Linked DNA regions of Mus musculus. The main gene of each other region encodes a partner of the protein of the gene in region 2 in a complex. Links are inferred from orthologs where the notes say so. Each region holds a gene or a part of one and is shown on either strand. Other genes may lie near its edges. The genes, in order: Mcfd2 and Lman1.

The links.
Region 1: the proteins of Lman1 (region 2) and Mcfd2 are in contact, whole or in part, in a cryo-EM structure (PDB 8JP5), measured with the Homo sapiens proteins. The link is inferred for Mus musculus from reciprocal best matches to the Homo sapiens genes LMAN1 and MCFD2. Residues at the interface, in NP_005561.1 of Homo sapiens: His43, Arg44, Arg45, Phe46, Tyr48, Lys49, Ser51, Phe52, Lys53, Pro55, His56, Gln59, Ser60, Asp61, Val64, Pro65, Phe66, Trp67, Lys96, Phe265, Glu273, Lys279, Glu280, Ile281, Glu285, Lys286, Tyr289, Glu292, Phe293, Phe296; in NP_001164977.1 of Homo sapiens: Val59, Ile60, Asn61, Lys62, Gln70, Glu71, Leu74, His75, Phe77, Lys78, Tyr82, Asp83, Asn86, Asp89, Gly90, Leu91, Glu92, Thr95, Thr98, His99, Val100, Leu111, Glu114, Leu117, Ile118, Ile121, Asp122, Leu125, Asp129, Lys130.

Annotation. Positions count from the first base shown.
Region 1 is NC_000083.6:87,255,828-87,259,637, forward strand, and holds part of Mcfd2 (multiple coagulation factor deficiency protein 2 homolog precursor), read right to left. Parts: intron 3,055-3,810; exon of another isoform or gene 2,934-3,054; coding exon of another isoform or gene 2,923-2,933; intron 2,263-2,922; coding exon of another isoform or gene 2,247-2,262; coding exon 2,101-2,246; intron 1,480-2,100; coding exon 1,320-1,479; intron 231-1,319; coding exon 99-230; 3' UTR 1-98. UniProt on the Homo sapiens protein: The MCFD2-LMAN1 complex forms a specific cargo receptor for the ER-to-Golgi transport of selected proteins. Plays a role in the secretion of coagulation factors.
Region 2 is NC_000084.6:65,996,076-65,999,885, reverse strand, and holds part of Lman1 (protein ERGIC-53 precursor), read left to right. Parts: intron 1-1,165; coding exon 1,166-1,320; intron 1,321-1,403; coding exon 1,404-1,511; intron 1,512-2,224; coding exon 2,225-2,286; intron 2,287-3,104; coding exon 3,105-3,204; intron 3,205-3,810. UniProt on the Homo sapiens protein: Mannose-specific lectin. May recognize sugar residues of glycoproteins, glycolipids, or glycosylphosphatidyl inositol anchors and may be involved in the sorting or recycling of proteins, lipids, or both.

The DNA.
Region 1 (3,810 bases), on a different chromosome or scaffold from region 2:
AGTGCTGAGCAGTAGACGGAAATAAGTTGTTTCGCATTACCAGACACATCCATCACATTAGCAAGGGTCACATGTGCACAAAGGAAAGAGCCAACGGTCTACTGCAGTGACTTTGCAAACTCAGCGTAGTCGATGTAGCCGTCGTTGTTCTTGTCATCGTCCCTCAGGACACCATCTATGATGCTGACGAGCTCATCCTCGCTCATGACTGGCGCCTGCTCACTCCCCTCCTACCGAGAGGTACACAAGACGGTGAGGGGCAGAATTACGGAGGGCATTAGCAAACGCCTACAAGGGTCACTTATCTAGGAGCCCTCGAGGGAGAATGTGCCACTTCTAGGAATCCAGACTCAGGCCAGGCAGGGTCAATTTATAAAACTCCAAGTGAGAAACTACATATGCCAGCTACAGAAAGATGGGATAAAAACAGGTCCTGGCTTTTTATCACTGTTGATATAGTAACAAGGTAATGTACAGACACTGCAGACAGCTGGGTCTGGATTACAAAGAACCGCTTGTCAGAGTCTGTGACTTCTACACCCATCCTAAGGCAAGAGCTCACTGCCTGATTCCTCCACAGGGTCAGCCTACTGCACAATTTGCCTAAGAAAATGGGAACAGTGACAATGAACACCTCAAGGTCAAAACAAGAGGAAGAAAACACTGCAAAACACTGCTGAAGAGAAAGCAGCGCCCTGTTCTAGAGGCTGCTGACAGAGGGCTGTGCCTGCGACAAAGCTCTGGCCATTCTCGTGGAGACCACCTTGGTCCATCTCCCACACCAATGTCATGGCCACACTGCCACTCCCGTGCCAGGACTGCTGGATCCTGACTCCTCTGACAGTAGTGTCACCTCCACACAGAATCCACTGCAGTGAAAGCTTGCTGGGCTCCCTACTGCCTCTCATCTCTCACCCCCTCCCCGCCTCCATCAAGCAGAGTAAGTGTCTCCCCTATTGATGCAGGCAGGCAGGGAGCCTGACATGACCATGCCTTGGGACAGCAGGAAGTACCTCACAGTATGACACAACCCCCACCTACTTCCAAAGCTCTGCCCCTTGGTCCCGGTGTCACCCTTCTTCTCAGATGAAATGACCGCTTTCCTGTGCCCTACACTGTGGTTTTTTGGCCGGACCCTCAAACTCCAGCTGTAGTGAAAATGTCAACATTTTAGCTTGGGCCAACCAGGCTTAGCCTCTCTGGGGTGAGGGTGGGATACAGAAACCGGATAATGCTCTGCTGAGGCAGGAACACAGCACAGGTCACCAGCGTGGGCACTGTCTACTCAGATGCCCAACCCTGCCTCCTCCTTGACCTACCTCCTTGTGCACGTGAGTGATGGCTATGGAGAGCTCTAGGCCGTCAAGCAAACTGTTGCCGTCGTAATCATGCATTTTGAAGTAATGGAGCTGCAGTTCCTGTGGGGACATCTCCGCCTCTGGCTGGTCGATGACACCTTCCAGATGTTCCATGATGTGCCTGAAAACCAACAGTCAGACTTGTCAACACCTTAGAAGGGCTTTGAAACAGTCCACGGTCAAGAACATAGCACACAGCCAGGGCCACCAAAGGTGCAGGGCCACAGCACAGCGGCCACCTGGCACCTTCTTTTTACTGTTAGACCTTGGTTACAATATTTTTTGAACTACCAATTTAATAGCAAGCTCCAGACTAACCAGGGTATCTACTGAGACCTTGTCTCAAATACACAAACAAGCAAAAAACAGATAACGAAGCTAAACGTGAAGTTTACTGGCCAAGGAAGACTCAGTGTTGGAATGTGTCACTGAAAACGCCTTGTCGTAATCAGGAAACCATGAGTACATTCTGGATTCTGTTACTGCATGTGCTGGACAGGGAAGGGGGAAGGAGGAAGTCTGAATTCTGACAAATAATTCGGTGTGTTTAGGCTTCAAGAGCCCCCAACCGTGAGATGCTGAAGACAGGTATCTTACTACCAGGAGTCCCAAGGGATAATGTTGAGCACTGAAAACTGTTCAGGGGCCCTATAAAGTGACAGGACGGGAGGAGGCGGGGGCAGCCTATGAGCTATGGCTGCAGATGGCAGGGACGCAGAGCGCTGCCCCACTGAATACATACTCTTGGTCGTGCACTGTGCTCTTATCCAGGCCCACGCTGCCATGATGGACATCAGCCCCGTGGTCATGGGCTCTGGCACCTGGAGCACAAAAGACCCAAAGCAGGACACACAGCAAGGGAGCTCTGAGCAGCTGTAGGGTTGCCATGCTTCCGGGTGGGTACCTGGAAGGTAAGAAACACAGACGGTGAGGCACAGTACCAGAGCTTCTGGAATCCTGGGAGGCGTGAGGCTGCAGACAAGAGCACTGAGAACGGGCAGAGGAGGGCACCTGCTCAGCGTGCGTGTGCCAGGAGCTGGGTGCCACTCCCAGTACCACAGAAAAGGTCAGCCTAGGGTGCCGGTGCACACCTTTAATCCCAGCAGTTGGAAAGTAGAGGCAAAGGCAGGCACATCTCCTAGCTCGAGGCCAGCCTAGTCTACAGAGCTAGTACCAGGATAGCCAGGGCTACACAGAGAAACCCTGTCTCCAAACACAGGGGAGAGGGGAGAGGGGAGAAAAGGGAAGAGGGGAGAAAAGCGGAAAGGGAGAGGGGAGAGGGGAGAGGGGAGAGAAGAGGGGAGAGAAGAGGGGAGAGAAGAGGGGAGGGGAGGGGAGGGGAGGGGAGGGGAGGGGAGGGGAGGGGAGGGGAGGGGAGGGGAGGGGAGGGGAGGGGAGGGGAGGGGAGAGGAGAGGAGAGGAGAGGAGAGGAGAGGAGAGGAGAGGAGAGGAGAGGAGAGGAGAGGAGAGGAGAGGAGAGGAGAGGAGAGGAGAGGAGAGGAGAGGAGAGGAGAGGAGAGGAGAGGAGAGGAGAGGAGAGCAAGCCAATTCTGCCCCAGCTCACCTGCTTCCCATCACCGAACTGGGCAGTACAGATCCACAGATCTGTTAATGTCCGAGGGCTGAGCAGTCACCCAAGAGCATGCAAGGATCCAGAGACTATTTCTGTATAGCAGCCCAGAGAGAGAAACGCTTCCTAGTTGAGTACAACAAAAGCAGAGTGAGGGGTTTTCAAAACAGAAAAGAACCTTTGGGAGTTCCGAAGAAATCTCCTTGGGTGACGGCTGACAGAGCCAGTAATGCTTCAGCCAGTCCTGGGCAGACACTGGAGCTGGGGGACAATGGCAGCTGAAGGCGAGCAAGTGCTAAGGCAGCGGGCACATGTGGAGCCAAGAGGCTGACACTTCCTGAGAACAAGTGGGAGCAACTGTCAAGTCATGACTAGGCTGGCGTGGCTTCAGGTGGACTCACTGACGGTGTGATGGAGAGCGATGGAGAGAGGCAGGGCTTCGAGAAAGACCACGGGAGCCGAGGGAAGCAACCAAGCTGGTCCTATCAACCTCAAAGCAGTGACCTGGAGAGGAGGCCACCGTCCCCACCTTGTGCACCTGCCAGGGTCCTGAGAGGGTCTCATAACTTTAACCATCACAAAGAAAAGCTACAGAAAAACTCATGTTACATCTTAATGAACTTGGAATTAAGATCAACAAGACAATTCAGCCAGGCAAGCTCCCTGAAGACTAACTTACATCATACCATGGATACCGTAGTTAATTGCTGGTTCAATGCAAAGTTCTGCCCCTCTGGGCTTAGATTAGCATCCTGTGGCATTTGCAAAGATTTCCCCAACCTATTTTACCCATCCCCCACCATCTATCCCCACGAAAAGATCAGCAACCACTGGGAAGGTGTCTTAGGGTTTTACTGCTGTGAAGAGACACCATGACCAAGG
Region 2 (3,810 bases):
AGAGAGTGCTCTACTGTTGATCCGTGCGCCGATTCCTGAATATATTTTGAAATTAAAGCCTGTTCATTGTTCTTTCAGATATGATAATGTTATACACTCAGTATGTAATATAGTATAAATGTAACTTTTAGATACACTGGAAAACCGGGGGGGGGGGGGGGGGGTGTGTGTCTTGCTTTACTGTGACAGTTTGAAACGGAACCAGCATTATCCCCATGCTATGCCTATACAAAGAGTGACACTCAGTGACTAAGGTCCAACAGTCATACGTGGCTCAACTGGGACTCGAGCCAGCTACTCTTGAGTTTCACTTGTTTTCTCTGAAAGTCCACAGTAGTTAAAGAACTGCTTATGAAATTAAAGCGTGGTTGGCCTTATTCTGGAAAAATGTTGATGTGCAGGACATTTTGCACGTGATTTTGGAGTGTTTAAAGAAGTCATCAGGCCTGGCCCTTTCATTTCACACATGAACGTTTGGTGAACCCGTGGAGTAAGGACATGAATTGCTCAAAGCCACAGCAGAACCAGGAGCAGCTGAACTTGACCCCTAGTGACGGGTTCTTGTCAGAATGCTGCTTCTAACATTTGTAACTGGTACGATGCACTACAGACTCTTACTATGGGACTTTTAATATTGAGGGGTAATTTTATTAAAAAGAGATTATGAAAATCAAATGAAGTTTGCCTTTTTTTTATCGAAGATGCATACAATATATTCTGAATATCACTTCCCCTCTCAGTCTCCTTCCAGGTCCTCCCACCTCCTCATCCATCCAACTCTATGCTTTTTCTCTCTTTACCAAACAAACTTCTGTCCCTTCAGAAAACAAACAGGCAAAACAAACAAATAAGTTTTCTAAAAACACAGAAAAAAATAGCACACAGAAACAAAACCCATGAGAACACAAAATCAGAAACCACAATACAGAAGAAAAAGTTTTGTCTTAACCTCTGTCCTTGACATTTAATTTGTGGGTGTAGGCTTCCAGATGTATTTCTCTTTTCAAAAGATAAAATTTCAGAGTCATAGCTGTCAGCATGAAGTTATTTCTGACACAATGAATGTAAAATCTGTCTCAGTAGCTGTGTGTAGCCATTCAAAGGTAATCTGTTGAGTTCTGCGTACTTCCAGCTTAAAGCTTTTCTTTTCTGATTCCTACCACAGATGCTATTCCAAGTGCAGATCAGATTCGAATAGCGCCGTCATTAAAAAGCCAAAGAGGTTCCGTGTGGACCAAAGCAAAAGCAGCCTTCGAGAACTGGGAAGTGGAAGTGACATTCCGAGTGACCGGAAGAGGTCGAATTGGAGCCGATGGCTTAGTATGATCATTTCTGTCACTCAAACGAGCATAGCTGCCAGGCACCACTGGCTCCTAACTGTTGTCCCTCTTACGTTTTCTCAGGCAATTTGGTATACAGAAAATCAAGGCTTGGACGGCCCTGTGTTTGGATCAGCTGATACGTGGAATGGTGTTGGAATATTTTTTGATTCTTTTGACAATGATGGAAAGGTATACTTATTGCTAAAACTGTTAGCCATTTTCCATGTTAATGTTTTTCTAGTACAGTTAGGCTGTAAGAAGGTGGCTTTCTTGACACCTTCAATTTAATAGTAAAGAACTTGGCTGGTAGTCTGAGCATGGTAATTAGTCTTGGTGGCAGAGACTTAACTACTAGAAGCTTTGTAGGCATGACTCTGCACACTGATTTACAGCCATGGTGGAGACCTAGCTCTTCAGAACATGCCAGTGATTCACACCCTGCATATGTTTGGTAACTATGAAGAGTCAGCGTGAGTCTTTAGATGTGGGCAAGAAAACCAGTGGTGTTCAGGAAGCCATGGCAGCACTCACAGGCTTGGCGGCAGCTAGCTCTCGGACTTGGATCCGTTCCTATGTTAACTACTTTCTGCTCAGGGCAGTTTTCCTGATGATGTCTTAAAAGCAGTTAAAAACAAACATATTTACGTGCTGAAAATACTAACTCGTGGCTTGGAAGCTTCAAGCTTGATGGTCTTCCCTTCACTTGGTTGTTTATTGATTTCCAGAGCTTACTCTTACTTAGCACGTTAAAAACTTTTAACAACTCCTTGAAAGCCTAGGCCGTATTATTTTAAAAATTTAAGAGCCCTAGAATTTTAACATTATGAGATCTCATAGAAAATAAAGAATGATGACGTTTTCAATGAAAGATACTAAAATAAGTCTATTTTCTTTATTTCTAGAAAAATAATCCTGCTATAGTAGTTATAGGCAACAATGGACAAATCAATTATGACCATCAAAAGTAAGTGATTTCTGCATTGGTTTTGTTTTCAGCTTGTTTTTGCAATCCTTGAGAAATACATTGCTTCAAATCTCAACACTCTTCAAACGAAATCAGCGTGTTCCCTTCCACTAGCTGCTGTATTGTCAGTAGGCAAAAAGGCATGCGTTCTCTTCTTGTTTTGAAGTTCTTTCTGTGAGCCACACTTTCCAGGTTAATTGAAAGGTATCTTTCAAAAATAAATTTAGCTTTCACCAAATTAACGAGTAGCCAGTCTGAGCCACCATTTTTCAATGTCAGTGTCACTTTAAGGCAGTCAGTGAGTTGCAGAGTCTCTAGGTGGTAAGTGTAAGCTCCTTGCTTCTCCGCGCCTGGCTCTGCTCTTCCTACCGTGGAGACTACAATGCTGCCGGTTCTGTATAAACCCCATGGAGTGGTTTAAAATAGAAATGCCTAGGTCAGCCCTTCAGAGTCTGCTTCAGCTGGCTTGGAAGGAGTTTATATAGACTTGTATCTTTAAACCCTCCTCAAGGGGCTGAGAATGTAGCTGAGTAAAATGATAGCATTTACAGTTTGAATACTTGCCGAGCATGTATACGACAGTACGTTCAGTTCCTAACAGCACAAAATATAAAAACTGTAAAGCCCCCCGGAATGATGTGGATGCCATCCTGGTCCCATACGTAGCATATCCTATAGCATGTTACCCCTCCCTTCAGCGTGTGTGATGTTGGCCTTCCTTTCCAGTGTTGCCAGAGTTCTGACAGGAAAGCCTTTGTCTTCTAACTGACAAGGACTGTCATAAGCCTCGTTGTAACTTGGTGTTTTTGAATCTACAGTGATGGTGCCACTCAAGCTTTAGCGAGTTGTCAGAGGGACTTTCGTAATAAACCCTATCCTGTCCGGGCAAAGATTACGTATTACCAGAAGACACTGACAGTAAGTGACAGTAATCAAATACTCGGGGATCTAATACTGCTTTTTTTTTTTTTTTTTTAATTCTTGACAGAAGATAATGTAATTAAATGTGGATTTCCACACATTTGTATGCATTGCCCTAAGGCAGTAGTTCTGAACCTTCCTAATGTTTCAACCCTTTAATACAGTTCTTCATGTTGTGGTGACCCCAACACATAAAATTATTTCATTGCTACTTCATAACTGTAATTTTGCTACTGTTATGGATCTTAGTGTGAATACCTGATATGCAGGATATCTGGCATGTGACCCTGTTAAAGGGTCATTTGACACACACCGCCCCAGGGGGTCACGACCCACAGGTTGAGAACCGCTTCTCTAAGCGAGCAGAAGTAAGAGTAGCTGGCATATGTGGTCATCTGTGTGCTACTTGGCCAGTGCGTTTCTGATTGGTTAGAGGAAGCTTAAGCACCCAGCCTGAAGATAGCTAAGTGCGCATCCAAGCCTTCAGGATACAAACATGGATAAGACACGGGCCGCTGTTCCTGAATAGCTTGTACACCATAGAGGGAGCACATAGCATCACCATACCAAGTGACAAGGCACAGCAGGAAGGAATTGTCAGCT